Linked DNA regions of Sus scrofa. The protein of the gene in region 1 interacts with the protein of each later gene in a pairwise test. Links are inferred from orthologs where the notes say so. Each region holds a gene or a part of one and is shown in the gene's direction. Other genes may lie near its edges. The genes, in order: DACH1, RNF14, FGF12 and C2H1orf35.

Region 1 (3,567 bases):
GTTTAATGCATTCATAATTTTAAGATAAGAAGGAGCTCTGATAAGATGACAGCCATGAAGAAAATTTTTGTATTCATTCACAATTGCCCTTTGAAAAACTTGAGTTAAAGTCATAAAGCTAAAATAGAAAATACTGATTATTCAAGCGAAGCAGATTTAGTGAGATATTTATCAACTGAAATGGAAGGCTGATGAATATCTGAACAAATGACCAAAGTTGAGTGTTTGTATAATTTTCTTTCTGAATGCCTCATTTTCATCCAACAAGGTCAAGTACACATCAGAGTAGAAACTGATAGGAATTTTTAGTGAGTAAAATAATGATATTATCAATCTACGAATTGCTTCTTTTTACACACTTTACAGTGCATGTATAGAAAAATTTGAAGGTCATTCATATTTTTAATGTTTATTTTATGTATGAGATTGAAGAGTATTTTCTTTACAACCAACTTCCTCTTCGTCTCAACTCAAAGATTCTTCTCAGGATTCTAGAAGGGGGAGCTCTGTTTCTCTCATTGAATAAGTATGAGATATAAACACTCCACATTTTCTCATTTTATATGTTTGACATGGTCATTTAAAAAAAAGTTTCTGTTTTGCTCTCAAAACTGGAAGGAGTTAGGTTTTTCATTACTTACTATGAAGCAAAAGCTAGTGGGTACCTGGGAAGAGGCTGGTTTGGGAAGCTTTCACTCCAGGTATGTAGCACACTTGTAAATTATGTGATTTCGCATAGATTTAGGTACTGGAGTAATCAAAACAAGATGGACAGTGAAAAAGGGAATAATGAGTATGGTCAAAGAGTTCATTCTGTGGTGCTGTTTTCCATGAGATAGCCCTGTCTTGATTTTATTCTCATCTAGAGAAGTCTTTTTTTTCCCACAAGACTTATTATTATTATTATTATTATTATTATTATTATTATTATTATTATTATTTTGTCTTTTTAGGGCTATACCCATGGCATATGGAGGTTCCCAGGAGGCTAGGGGTCAAATGTAGCTGTAGCTACTGGCATACACCACATCTATAGCAACAATAGATCTGAGCTGCCTCTGATACCTACACCACAGCTCATGGCAATGCCGGATCCTTAACACACTGAGTGAGGCTGGGGATTGAACCTGCATCCTCATGGATACTAGTCAGATTCGTTTCCACTGAGCCTTGACGGGAACTCCTTTTTCCATAAAACTTAAAAGCAGACACTTGAATTTCTAACATAACCTTTTGGTTACTCAAGAGATTCTCAGAATTTTGTTGGTTTCCATCTATTGAAGGATTTTTATTCTTTTAGTCACTAGAGGTAGAGGGCAATACATTTTACAGGTCACATCATGAACCTCACATTTTAATTAATTGTTAACAATAAATTATAGGTAATAACAATCAATAATTATCTATTATGAAAGTGTCTGTCGAAGCAGTGTATTACCCCGAAGAGAGAACATGGTGATCCCATTTGGTTCAATCTCATTGAAGGAACCATGAGCAGTCAATGGCAAGGCCCTGGGTATTGAACTTTTAGTGCTGTAGGAGTGAACAATCCAAATAAATAATTCAGAAATCACTGTTTCTTTTCAAAAAGACTGATATGCAACTGTCTTTGGAAAGGGAAATTATAGGCAAGTAATTTTGCTAAGTATATTATTTTCACACTTAAATAAAGAAAATTAGCATTTATTTGAAACCAGGTTTTGTTTATCTACTAAATGTAAATTTTGATTAAAAAAATAGTTTCTGTTACTATCTAATACCAGCAACAGTAAACTCAACAAGTTAATTGTTTGCCATCTTAACAATGTTAATAATTATAAAAACAGGATTTTGGGAAATTAGAAATTGAAACTAAAATTCTTACATGAACCATTATTACCTGATTTTATATTTTAGCTAAATGCTGTGCTACATAAAAATGTTTTTCTTTTATCTGTAGTAAGAAATTTAGCAGTAAATTTGGAATGATTACTTCTTCTGACTAATGTTACCAGGAGGTTTTTCTCACACTGATTCTGTTACATTCACACTTACAATATTTATCAACTATTCAAAAAGAAATTATCTCAAAGAAAATATTTGTATGCTTTCCATATGCTGATTGTTTACTTTATAGTGTAAAAGTTAAAACAGTGATTAATTATTTTATGTATGAGAGTACAATTAACATATATTTCATGAAGGACATTTGTTGTTATTTATTGATACATATTGTATACAAACATTTAAATTCCCAGTAGGAGAAAATTGCATCACAATTAACTTTTTGTATCATAATCTACTTTTTTTATATAAGTAGGAGTGAGGTTTTATACTCCATTAGATTTCTGCAGAGTAAAAGTATAACTTTCTTAATATAGGTTATAGTGCCTATACATTTGCTATGAAGAAATTATTAACATCTCTAAGCAAATCACAATAGCTTTATCCAAAAAATTCTGCTTATATATGTTAACAATAATTAAGAGTATTTAGCTCCTCATATGCATTAAATTTATTTCATTTTCTAAAATTTCAAGAAATAATTATTAAAAAATTTGCTGTTGTCACATTTTTGTAAAGCATTTTGTGAAGCATGTTTGTAAAAGGGGAAACGTATTACCCAAAACTGATGCTTCATAAAGAGATAGGAATCATGCTTGTAAAAGTTTACACTATTCAAAACTGCTTTGCATTAATCTGATTTAAGGGCAGAAACTAAGCCAAGAAATTTAATCAGGCTTTCTTTAATGGTGAATATAAATATTTATTAAAATTAGTTTTTCATTAAATGTGTCTCTATGTATGACAATTAAAGGCATTCTTGTAGTAGTTCAAGGCTAAATAACCATTGGCCTCCTTGAACATTTCACTGAGATTTATTTTAGGCAAAAGTGAGTTTGTCGTTTTGATTTTTTTAGACTTCTGCATATATGTGTGCAGTCCAGCGGGGCAGGGGGGGGAGATTATTGGGAGAAAAATAGATCATTTGTAGAAATTTGAACATTGCAAAAATTTTTAAAAATAATAATGTACAAACACTCTTTTCTAGCCATAGTTCAAAAAAGGCTAAAGAAGGAGAAGAAGGCAAAGAGAAAATTGCAGGAAGCACTTGAATTTGAGACAAAACGGCGTGAGCAAGCTGAACAAACACTAAAACAGGCAGCTTCAACAGATAGTCTCAGGGTCTTAAATGGTAAGAGGGGGCATCTTTATGCATGGTTAAGTAATTTTCATTTTGAATACTCAAAAGACACATTTTTGTGTTTGTGGTTTTGAATATTTCTATAGCTTGTGGTTCATTAAACTCTGCTTGTAGTTGAAAGCCCGGTAGGAAGAATAGTCACATGTGTTGGATGAAATGCTTTATTTCATAGGTGCTTCCACAGTTTTATTTCTGTATCTGAGCCCTGACATTGCTTTTCTATTTAACCAAATCTGTCTGTATCAAAACATAATAAAATATTAATCTGAGAACTTCCCAAACCCCATCCCATTTTCATGAACAATTTTGCATTATTTATCCATTCAAATCTTTTGATAATTCTCATGGTTATCATCTTTGTTCAACCTTTAAAAGATGACAAA
Region 2 (3,567 bases), on another chromosome or scaffold:
CTAACACCATCTTTTGTAATTTTTTTTCTGCAGATGGCAGGCTTTCTCTGGTGTTTCTAGTATGAATTCCACATCTCGGCCTTTTATCCAGCTCCAGCAGTCTCAGCTCCATCATCTGGAGGACAAATGAAATTTGCATGAGTTGCAAACTCTTGAGCTGAATGAAATACGGACTGCAGTGCTAATATCCTTTTCTTCTAGTTGTTATTAACAGGTACTAACTGACCTCACACAGAATATGTCACCGTGTCTTTTTTTTTTTTTTTTTTTTTTTGCCATTTCTTGGGCTGCTCCCATGGCATATGGAGGTTCCCAGGCTAGGAATCGAATCAGAGCTGTAGCCAATGGCCTACACCACTGCCGCAGCAACACAGGATCCAAGTGGCATCTGCCACCTACACCACAGCTCATGGCAATGCCAGATCCTTAATCCACTGAGCGAGGCCAGGGATCGAACCCGCAACCTCATGGTTCCTAGTCGGATTCGTTATCCACTGAGCCATGACGGGAACTCCTGTCACTGTGTCTTAAACAAGGACATGGTTTAATCAGAACCATTATCTGCTGGAAAAATAAACCTTTTGAAGATGGACATTTTGAATGAATTCGTCTAAATTTTATAGTGTCATCTTTGATAATGTGAAAAAGCATGTCCTAACTTTGCTTTGTGCGTTTCAGTTTAGAAAAACATTTCAGCCGAGAGGGAGCGTATTTGCCCCTGCCATTATCGTTGAGTGTTTTAATTGACGATGATAATTTGGGGTTTGTTTTGTTAACTTTCACAGAGTCTCACTACATATTTTTCGTACGTTTAAATTACCTGACACGGTGGCACATCTTTTCGTTGCTGCGATTAAAAAAGCGTTGCTTCACACTTGACGTGTAGTATATTTTCACTGTTGATGTTACCTAAAATGATGATAAATCTTAAAAGTGACGTGACAGAATTTGGCGTGATTTCAGAAATGTAATGTTATTTTGCTGCTTCTTTCGTTTTCTGTCTTACATGGCGGCTGTCCCTGTTTGGAACAAGTAGGTCTTGCTTGTGGGAGGCTGTCCTGAGCATTCCAGGGTGTGTAACAGCAACCCTAAAACAGCCTACTAGAGGCCAAGAGCATCCTTTTCCCACAAGAGTTGTGACAATCAAAACCATCTCCGGGCGCAGCCAGGAATCTCCCACTGGGAGAGGGAAGAAAACCGCCCCCAGCGGCGCACACCCTGTTCTGGAGAATGCCCTTGTCCTTGCCCTTGCCCTTGCCATTGCCAGAGGCACTGAGGTTGAGAGAACCTGCCCTAGAGATGCCTGTGGGTTTGAAAAATTGATTCATTTTATTTTTATTTATTTTTTGGTCTTTTTGCCTTTTCTAGGGCCGCACCCGTGGCATAGGGAGGTTCCCAGGCGAGGGGTCTCATCGGAGCTGTAGCCGCCAGCCTACGCCAGAGCCACAGCAACGCGGGATCCAAGCCGCATCTGCAACCTACACCCCAGCTCACAGCAACGCTGGATCCTTAACCCACTGAGCGAGGCCAGGGATCGAACCCACAACCTCCTGGTTCCTAGTCAGATTCATTAACCACTGTGCCACAATGGGAACTCCCCAAAACATTGATTTATTTTAAAGACGCCTATCACCTATGCTTGGACTACTTTGGTGAGCAAGGCACTTGGCTAGGTGTAGTGGACAAGTCAAGGTAATGTGTGATTGGTCCTTTACGATTTTTTTTTCGGATGGTCTTTTTTCCCCTGAATCATACCTAACTGATAAAGTCAGCAGTCGGAGGCACCACAGCCGTCCTTTGTGGAAAAGGCTGGTGCTGTTGCAGAGCTTCTGGAACATGAGCCCTGCCTGGCATTGTTAGTTTGACAGAAGAGTGAGAACATCGGCTGCTCCTCATCCGGTGGCGGCGAGGAGCCTTCTCGGGGGCGGGCTGGGGGGCGGTGGTCGTGCCCTAGACCTTTGCAGACGCTTCCTCGCCTTTCCTGTTCTTAACCGGCTCGAATGCTTGTCTCCCGCTCCTCAGAAAGTTAAATGTCGTCGGAAGACCGAGAAGCTCAGGAGGATGAGTTGCTGGCCCTGGCGAGTATTTATGATGGAGATGAATTCCGAAAAGCAGAGTCTGTCCAAGGTGGAGAAACCAGGATCTATTTGGACTTGCCCCAAAATTTCAAGATATTTGTGAGCGGTCAGTTCATATTATCTTAAACGGATTTTTCTAAATAAAGGTTCTTCTCAATTTCTTAGTGTACCTAAGTTATTTATCATCTTGTGTTTCAAGGCATCAGTGGTAGACGGTAGGGTTGCAGATTTAATGCCTGTTGCTGCCTTCATTGAAAACTGGGCTGGGAGGGAACAGTTTTCAGTTTGATTCCGCCTTTATGACCCTGAACTGGGATATTACCCTGCGTGTTTCTCGCATCCTAATAGGCTCACTAGCACTTCATCAGCTATGAGTCATTGGCTGTTAAATAGGGGTACTAAGAGAGAAAATGAAATAATGGATGTGAAAATACTTGGAAAGATTTAAAGTACTGTGGTGGTGGTGAATAATGTTTGGTTGCCAGCAATTTTTCAGCCACCACACACATATGACAATATGCTGCTACTCTGTGGTCTTTGGCTTCAGAAAAAAAAATTAAAAATTGGTACTTTGGGTAGAAATGTTCACACAGGACATGGATGCAAACTTTCTCAGACGGTTTATACTGTAAAGGCTTTGAGTGAAGAGAGTAAATGTAATCATTTAAGATGAAACTTGGACTGCGAGAGCGTTGTGTGTTGTATCTTGCCCTCAGGTTGACATCACTGTGTTGGCACAGATTCTCCCACCTATGATTCATGGGTAGTTGGCACATGCTGATCTAAGTAGGTCATGGCTCTTTGATTGGAATAAGCGTCCTTTTCTTTAGATTGTGTCTTTAATCATCTACTGTAAAACAACAGCAACAGGAAACATTGTGTATAACTTGCTCCTTAGTGGTGGGAGTTATGCTCAAAAGTGTATCCAAGAATAAGCTGTGTATCTTCATTTTTAATTTCATGATGCGTAGTAGATTTTTTAAGGGCTTACAAGGTTTTTTTTTTTTTTTTTTTTTTTTTTAAGGTGGTGGCTACGAAGTAAAACTAGGAAACCGAAAGGGCTTTGGGGGAGGGTTTTTGTTCCCTCAACTAAAGCGTTAAGAGTTTCTGAGCGCCGCTCAACAGTCATAGACACTCAAGTGCTGATCAACTGCTCCTTTCTAACCTTTGTTTTTGGTTCAGGCAACTCAAATGAGTGTCTCCAGAATAGTGGCTTTGAACACACCATTTGCTTTCTGCCTCCACTTGTGCTGAACTTTGAGCTGCCACCAGATTATCCATCCTCCTCCCCACCTTCATTCACACTTAGTGGCAAATGGCTGTCACCAACTCAGGTTAGACCCGAACCTAATTTCTCCTATCCGTTTTTAGAAACCTAAAAAGTCCTCTTTAAGCGACGGCTACCTTGGTGATCTTGAATTCAGTGCATGAAGAACAAATGGGTTTGCTTTTGTAATTTTTTTTTTTTTCCTCTTGCCTTCATGAATCC
Region 3 (3,567 bases), on another chromosome or scaffold:
CCCCCTTGGCAACCACAAGTTTGTTCTCCAAGTCCATGAGTTTCTTTTCTGTGGTAAGATTTTTGTGCCATATATTAGATTCCAGATATAGGTGATATGATATGGTATTTGTCTTTTTCTTTCTGACTTACTTCACTTAGTATAAGAATATCTAGTTCCATCCATGGCATTACTTTGTTCTTTTTTGTGGCTATATTACTCTTAATTTTCAAGCTAAGGCATATGAACTAGTTTTTTTTGTGTGTGTGTGTTTTTTTTCCAAACCTGGAATTTTATTATTCCATGTAATGGAAAAAATTGGAAAATTAGTGATTGAGTTGTCCTGGAAGAAGACCAAGTCTCACACTTTGCTCTGACACTAGTGAGTTTCCTTCTTTTTGGAACATTGAAAATTTTTAGATGCCATTTAAAAAAATTCTCTGTGGACTTGATTCTAGGATGGCCAGCAGGGTTAAGTTAGTTATTAGAAAAGTTATCTGCAGTGATAACTATAATGGCAACATTTTTTATGTTGTCACAACTTAAATATTGTATGTGTAAGTGAGAAATGGCAAAAAAAAAAAAAAGCAGATAAAAGTTAAAAACAAATGTCTTGGGTAGAATCTACAACATAAGGAAAGTTAAAAAAAGAAGTTTCAACACAACGAAATTTAGATACCAAAATTATAAAATATATTCTTTGATGGAAATTAAAAGGTTATATCCTTCAAGTACCTCTACGTTGAAGTTTAAAAATTTTTCCATGTCAAAATATATTGTTTTTATTTTTAGAGTTTTTTTTTTCATTCTTTGAGACTAATTAACAGTCTGTAGTCAGGTTTGGGGATGTATATGTTTTCACAGATGATTAAGTGAGAGAGTAGGGAAAACGTCTTTATGGTATTATGTGAATAGCTTTCCAACTGAATTGCTTCATTACTTCTGAGTTCCCCTGTGCACTACGCAGTTATAAATAAATGGCTATATTTTGCACATATAAACATATTATTTAATTTGGGCAATTTTGAAACTTTTCCCATAACAGATATATAGGTAAGAGGCATTAGACTTGAGGAACTTCAAGATTTCAATAGGATCTTACATATAGGTCTTCCGTCTTTTGTCAAAGAAAGGCAGAAACTTCAGTTACCTATTGGCACCATCTGAAAATTATAGGATCAGTTCATTCTAAACTAGTTTATTCTGTACACTTCACTAGTTAAGCTAAAGGCAGTTAGTCCTTTGGTAATATTGAAGGGCCCATTCAGTGCAATAAATGAAATATTTTAAAAATCTCATTTAAAAAAATACATTTATAATAACTGTACATGATATTTGTAATAAATAAGCTTTGTATATATATTTTATACTAGCCACAGTGTGGTTTGATTTTGCCAGCATCATCATCACCTGGGCACTTATTAAAACTGCAGAATCTCTGGAGTTCCTTCCTGGTTCCATGGGTTAAGGATGCCATGTTGTCACTGCTGTGGTTCTGGTTACAGCTGTGACATGGCTTTGATCTCTGGTCAGGGGACTTCCACATACTGCAGGCATGGCCCCGCAAAAAATGCAGAATCTCAAGTCCACTGTAGACCTTCTGAGTCAGAATCTGCATTTTAACAATATCATAGGTAATTCAACTGCATGCTAACATTTAAGAAGCTCTACTACTGAGATGTTGGAAGAGATCTGTCTCCTCATCACTGAACTTGACTGAGGAGCCTACTTATATACCTTAACTTTCTTAATCTAGTTTTGGATTTAGAATATAACTTCAGCCAAAGCAATGTGTCATTATGTTCTCTGAAATCTTTTATTTAAATTCTTTTCTTTTTTTGGTCTTTTTAGGGCCTCACCTGCAGCATATGGAGATTCCCAGGCGAGGGGTCAAATCGGAGCTGCAGCTTCTGGCCTACATCATAGCCACAGCAATGCCAGATCCGAGCTGCATCTGCAGCCTAGACCATAGCTCATGGCAACCCTGGATCCTTAACCCACTGAGCGAGGCCAGGGATCAAACCTGCTTCCTAGAGGACGCTAATCAGATTTGCTTCCTCTGAGCCACGATGGTATTTAAAATTCTTATGAAGAAATCAGCCCCTTCATTTTTCTTATACATCTTGGTATGTTTACTGAATGCCAAGCGCTGACTCCTCATAAAAATGCTGTTTTACAATTATGAAGGTGTATCCAGTTGGACAGTTAGGAAGTGGCTGAATAAGGATGTGGACCCAGGCAGTGTGGCTCCCAGATTTGTGCTCTTAACCAGCATACAACATCTATTCAGTCAAGGCCATGCTGGGGTCTCCAGTACCAGAGCAAAGTCCAAGGAAGAAAGCAATTTGATCGGAAATAGCATTCAGATTACCAACGCATTGTAGTGATGGTTCAATAGGTAGAGATTTATAACTGTTTGTTCCTAAGTCAAGGATGAAAGCACCTCCTCATATTTAAGTAAATATTTCATATACATATACAGTCACATTTGTCCTACAACAATAAAATGAATCAGCCTTAATGTATTTAGTATGCTGATAGATTCTATCTTACAAGAATAACTATGAATTGAAAAACACTCTTCTTCCCATGCAGTAATCTAGCAAGAGCCATGATAATTCACATATGACTGAGCTTTTGAGCCAGACAAAACAATAGAGGATAAAAGGAACTGTTTATATAGATGTGAACTGAAATCTCACAGTTGCATAATCACATTTCTTATTATGAATAACTAAGAAGTCATGGATTGTGTTCATTACCTTAGGTAAAGGAAATCTGTAGAAACTGGGGAAATTACATCTTTTTTCCTTCTCTGCCCTCTCTCCTGTTATCATTTCCTTTGTAGGATACCCTGAAAGTTGGCAATAAATATTTCAGTTTGATACAATGTCATATTCCTTGTAGTAGGGTAAAGATTAAGATCATGTAAATGATCATTTTTTTTCCTACCCAAACTAGATTAAAGACTAAAAAATGAAATATCTCTTTCTAGCATTTAAATGTTATACATCCAATGTCTTTTCTAACTCTAGATGAAAATCCTGTTATATAGGTTAGTAGACAGTAAAGACTTAAGCCTTATCTATAAGGGAACAGAAACCACATATATGGCTGCAATTCAGGAAGACTTAAATGGTTTTGACTGATAGAATTGGAAGAGAATTATGTGCATCCACTAAATATCGTAAGTAAAATTCACTTTTATAGTAGGAAGAAGAGCTAGTGGTGAGAGTGAACACTATTGTAAATCCAAATTTGACATGTTTATTGAGGCCAAATTGATGTCTCCTATTGTAAGGAGTAATTGATGTGCTTTTTGCCTTCCAGTGTGTATGTACAGAGAGCCATCACTACATGAAATTGGAGAAAAACAAGGGCGCTCGAGGAAAAGTTCTGGAACACCAACCATGAATGGAGGCAAAGTTGTGAATCAAGATTCAACATAGCTGAGAACTCTTCCCTGCATCCCTCTCTCATCCTTTCCCTTTCTCCCCCTGCCCTTTACCCATTTCCTTCCAATAAATCCACCCAAGGAGAGGAAAATAAAATGGCAACCCAGGACCTAGTGGCTAAGATTCTGCACTC
Region 4 (4,083 bases), on another chromosome or scaffold:
TTATATACCTGAAGTTCAGTCATAGTATATGGTGGGGAAGGTGTTCTGGGCCTGACCCAGTAGGTAGGAGCCAACAGCCTGTGGGAGATGAACCTCCCCCACTCCTGACCCCTTCTGGTCCACTCACCATTCTGTGCGGCTGCACAGGGACATCCTCCCACCCCAATCCATCCCAGCAATGTGTGGCTATGCACTTCCAGGCCCTGCTGACCTCCTCATCTTTGCTCAAGAACGCCCTTAAGCAGTGAGGCAGGTGAGGGAGAGCAAGGTGAAAGACCTCACCCCCCCCCCCCATTATCAGATGAACTCACTGAGCAACCTGCAGGAGGGCCATGTCTTGTGAGAGGACCAGTACTGAAGGGATACAGATAACATGTGTGGCACCGTGTAAATTCCTCAGTACATTCATCTTATGGTTTCAGTTCAGTAGGAGTTGGCCAATGGAGTGGCACTCCTCTCTGCTCATTAGGACCTCTTATGACTGAATCTATTCTGGTCTGCAGTGATGACAAACCGAACACCCTTGCCCAACAACTAGCTTACTATAGATACTGAGCAGCAAAGACCAAAACTGTTGAATGAGGATCGTCTGCCAGTGAACACCTTGAGGGTGACTGAGGCATTTTCTGTGCTCTTTGAGGTATGAGTGCAATGAGGTGTGCTTCCATACTTTTTTGGGAGCCACACAGCTGGTATCCCCAAGGGTGGAGAACAGGCCAGTGCAGGTGCAACCTGACCTTGGTGGCTCCCGGTTTATAAGGTAGGGAAGCTATAGTAGGGAAACAGTTTCAGACATAGTCTCCCCCAGTGCCTACCCCTCTCCCCAGCACAGGGCCAGAAACAGCACACACTAGCAACGATGACTCGGGGGTGTCACCCACACAACGTGACTCGAATTTATTTTTTAGGGCCGGACCCACAGCATACGGAAGTTCCCAGGCTAGGCGTCTAGCAGGAGCTGCAGCTGCCGGGTCTATGCCACAGCCACAGCCTCACCCACACCAGATCCGAGCCGGTTCTGCGAGCAGCTCATGGCCACACCGGATCCTTAACCCACAGATCCGGTCCAAGGATCAAACCCATGGCCTCATGGATACTAGTCCCTTTCATTACCTGTGACCCACGACAGTGGCTTCCAATAATGCGGCGGTATCTGCCGCAGCCTCCGACTTTGGCCAGGGCCACAGCAGTGCGCAGGCGTTAGAGGCAGGCGGGGGCGGTGCAAGCGCGCATGACGTCACTGCGTGCGACGCGGGGTGGAAACGGGGGCCGGTGGGGCCTGGGTAGCGGGAAGCCGGCACCATGTTCGGCTCCAGCCGGGGTGGAGTGCGCGGTGGGCAGGATCAGTTTAGCTGGGAGGATGTGAAGACTGACAAACAGAGGGAGAACTACCTGGGTGAGCGGGGTGCCGGGACCCAGGGTGGCGGCGGGGGTGTCTCTCGGGCTGGAGGTACGCCAACCTGCAGCGCCGTACCGAGGACTCGGCGCTCGGTATCCCGCAGGCAACTCGCTGATGGCCCCGGTGGGCCGCTGGCAGAAGGGCCGTGACCTCACCTGGTACGCCAAGGGCCGGGCGCACGGCGCGGGGTTGAGCCGGGAACAGGAGCTGGAGGCCGTGAGGCAGGCGGAGCAGGAAGCGCTTATGGCAGCGTTGTGAGTGAGCCTCGGGAGCTTGGGGGCGGGGGGGAATTACCTCCTGGTTGGGGGTAGGGCGGAGACCGGGGCTGGGCGGGGGCGGGGGCGCGGGCCGAGGAGAGGCCCGCCACTCTCTGAAGCTCACGCGCGGCCCCCGCAGAGGCTACAAGAACGTAAGGAAGCAGCCCACGGGCCTGAGCAAGGAGGTGAGAGGTGGGCCCTCTTGGAGGACGGGGGCGGGATGGGGCGGGGGGGCAGACCCCACGCTGTGGTGAGCGCTTGCACTCCCCCCCACCCACAGGACTTTGTCGAAGTCTGTAAGCGGGAAGGAAGTGACCCCGAGAAGGGAGTGGACCGGCTCCTGGGCCTGGGCAGCTCCAGGTGCGGGGCTGGGGAGGTGGTCCTCGGGGACCCCAGAAATCGCGAGGGTGCAATTCCCCGGGGTTCGGCGCTGTCAGCCGCCCAGGTGGAAGCCGTTATGGGTCGTCTGAACTCATCACTTCTCTAGGGAGGCCTACGGGTGGGGATGGGGTGGTCCTCGCTGTCGGGAGAGGGTGTCTCACTGTGGGGGGGGGTCCCCACCCGCGTCCCCGCAGTGGCTCTGCAGGGCGAGTGGCGCTGTCACGGGAAGACAAAGAGGCCGCTAAACTGGGGCTTTCGGTGTTCACGGTAATTCCTCCCGACATCCTGGTTATCCCATGTTGGGGTGGGGGTGGGGATGAGTGTCCCTTCCTGTTGAAAGCCGTGGGGCAAATCGTCTCCCCTCGAAGGGACCCTACTGGCTTTCTGGATGGTTCTCAGGCCCGCACACCCCCAGAGTGGCTTTTCTTGGCAGCACCACCGCGTGGAGAGCAGTCGGCCAGGGGTCTCCCTGGCTTCGGCCAAGAGGAAGCCTCGGTCAGAGGAGAAGGTGGAGCCAGGGTAAGGGCTGGATAAGTGGACCCTACCCGTGCTACTAGGACACAGAACTCGGTTCGCTCTGCATGTTGTTTGCTCCACCAGACAGTAAAATTCCTAGCTCCAGCCTTTTTTTGGGGGGGAGCCGCTGGAGGTTGTGAGCCCTGGGGCGGTTCCACTTGCCCCCTGACTCCTCAGTGGGATCAGGGGCCCAAGAGAATGTTCAGACATGAGTCACTTTCCGGGGTCTGGGGCGGGTGGGGTGGTGAACCACTTCCCCTTCCCGTTGCTTTAGCTGCCCAGCGAGGGGTGTGAGTGGCACAGGAGGGGATCACAATTTGGCCCCAAGAGTGCAGGGTGGAGTGGGAGTGGGGAAAATCGCAGTGGGAGGGTTGGAAAGGGGCCATGAGATCGTCAGATTTTCTGCCACGATTGGAATGCAAGTAAGGGTCTGTGCCCCCGACCGTGGTAGTTGCTGGCTACAGGTGGTACTGAGGAGTTGCCCTTAGTGACTTCAGGTTGAAATGGCTACACATGGTTAGTGGCTACTGCAGCAGCCCCATCCCTGGCTAGATTCCAAAGCCCCAGAGGCACTGGCACTTTGTGTCCCCTTGCAGCCCTGAGAGCCACAGGAAGAGCAAGAAAGAGAAGAAAAAGAAGAAAAAACACAAGAAAGAGAAGAGAAAGAAAGAAAAGGAGCATGGGAGGGGGTCACATTCCTCACTGTCCCCTTCTTCCATCCAGTAGGTGCAGCTGCCTGGGGGTAAAGAGGCGGGGAGTACTGGGCAGGCAGGGGCCCTCAAGCCAGGTGTCCCCCGGTCTCCCTAGGCATGATCCCAACTCCTCGCCTTGTTGCAAGAGGAAGCGCCGGCAGGACAGCAACTGAGATCCAGAGATCTGAAGGGCTAGCCTATGGGGATCACCCCAGGCCTCGAAAGAGGCTTAACTGTGGCCTACTACGGCTGCTTTTATTTTTCTTTGTATTGACTCACTCTTTGTACGTAAATAAACTTATTTTAAGTGGAAAGTGTTTCATACTAAAGGGAAGGTTGCTATCATATGTCATAATAGAAAGTGATGTGTGGGAGTTCCCGTCGTGGCGCAGTGGTTAACAAATCCAACTAGGAACCATGAGGTTGCGGGTTCGGTCCCTGCCCTTGCTCAGTGGGTTAACGATCTGGCGTTGCCGTGAGCTGTGGTGTAGGTTGCAGATGCGGTTTGGATCCCGCGTTGCTGTGGCTCTGGCTTAGGCCAGTGGCTACAACTCCGGATTCGACCCCTAGCCTGGGAACCTCCATATGCTGCAGGAGCGGCCCAAAGAGATAGCAAAAAAAAAAAAAGACAAAAAAAAAAAAAAAAAAGTGATGTGTGAAGATGTGATCTCTTGGGTTCTAGCAAGGCTACCTGTGATCCCACTGGGAAGGGCACTGTCCTTTTGGTGGTCAGCATCTCGGAGTCTCATATTGACCAAGAGCCCTGGGTCATGTGTGGCCAGAAGGAGGCCACACGGGTCAAAGGGGCTCAGCTGCAGAGGGGTGAGCATGCTAGGAG

Evidence for each region.
Region 2: the proteins of DACH1 (region 1) and RNF14 interact in binary tests that used the Homo sapiens proteins (3 or more experiments, as listed by UniProt). The two-hybrid records come from large-scale screens. The link is inferred for Sus scrofa from reciprocal best matches to the Homo sapiens genes DACH1 and RNF14.
Region 3: the proteins of DACH1 (region 1) and FGF12 interact in binary tests that used the Homo sapiens proteins (3 or more experiments, as listed by UniProt). The two-hybrid records come from large-scale screens. The link is inferred for Sus scrofa from reciprocal best matches to the Homo sapiens genes DACH1 and FGF12.
Region 4: the proteins of DACH1 (region 1) and C2H1orf35 interact in binary tests that used the Homo sapiens proteins (3 or more experiments, as listed by UniProt). The two-hybrid records come from large-scale screens. The link is inferred for Sus scrofa from reciprocal best matches to the Homo sapiens genes DACH1 and C1orf35.

Annotation. Positions count from the first base shown.
Region 1 is NC_010453.5:43,799,729-43,803,295, reverse strand, and holds part of DACH1 (dachshund homolog 1), read left to right. Parts: intron 1-3,031; coding exon 3,032-3,175; intron 3,176-3,567. UniProt on the Homo sapiens protein: Transcription factor that is involved in regulation of organogenesis. Seems to be a regulator of SIX1, SIX6 and probably SIX5.
Region 2 is NC_010444.4:143,577,902-143,581,468, forward strand, and holds part of RNF14 (E3 ubiquitin-protein ligase RNF14), read left to right. Parts: intron 1-33; 5' UTR 34-214; intron 215-1,575; exon of another isoform or gene 1,576-1,855; intron 1,856-2,022; 5' UTR 2,023-2,030; coding exon 2,031-2,184; intron 2,185-3,260; coding exon 3,261-3,412; intron 3,413-3,567. UniProt on the Homo sapiens protein: E3 ubiquitin-protein ligase that plays a key role in the RNF14-RNF25 translation quality control pathway, a pathway that takes place when a ribosome has stalled during translation, and which promotes ubiquitination and degradation of translation factors on stalled ribosomes.
Region 3 is NC_010455.5:129,241,882-129,245,448, reverse strand, and holds part of FGF12 (fibroblast growth factor 12), read left to right. Parts: intron 1-3,309; coding exon 3,310-3,428; 3' UTR 3,429-3,567. UniProt on the Homo sapiens protein: Involved in nervous system development and function. Involved in the positive regulation of voltage-gated sodium channel activity. Promotes neuronal excitability by elevating the voltage dependence of neuronal sodium channel SCN8A fast inactivation.
Region 4 is NC_010444.4:51,238,494-51,242,576, reverse strand, and holds C2H1orf35 (multiple myeloma tumor-associated protein 2), read left to right. Parts: upstream 1-1,251; 5' UTR 1,252-1,302; coding exon 1,303-1,396; intron 1,397-1,502; coding exon 1,503-1,653; intron 1,654-1,795; coding exon 1,796-1,841; intron 1,842-1,936; coding exon 1,937-2,016; intron 2,017-2,231; coding exon 2,232-2,304; intron 2,305-2,405; coding exon of another isoform or gene 2,406-2,470; coding exon 2,471-2,556; intron 2,557-3,149; coding exon 3,150-3,275; intron 3,276-3,360; coding exon 3,361-3,418; downstream 3,419-4,083.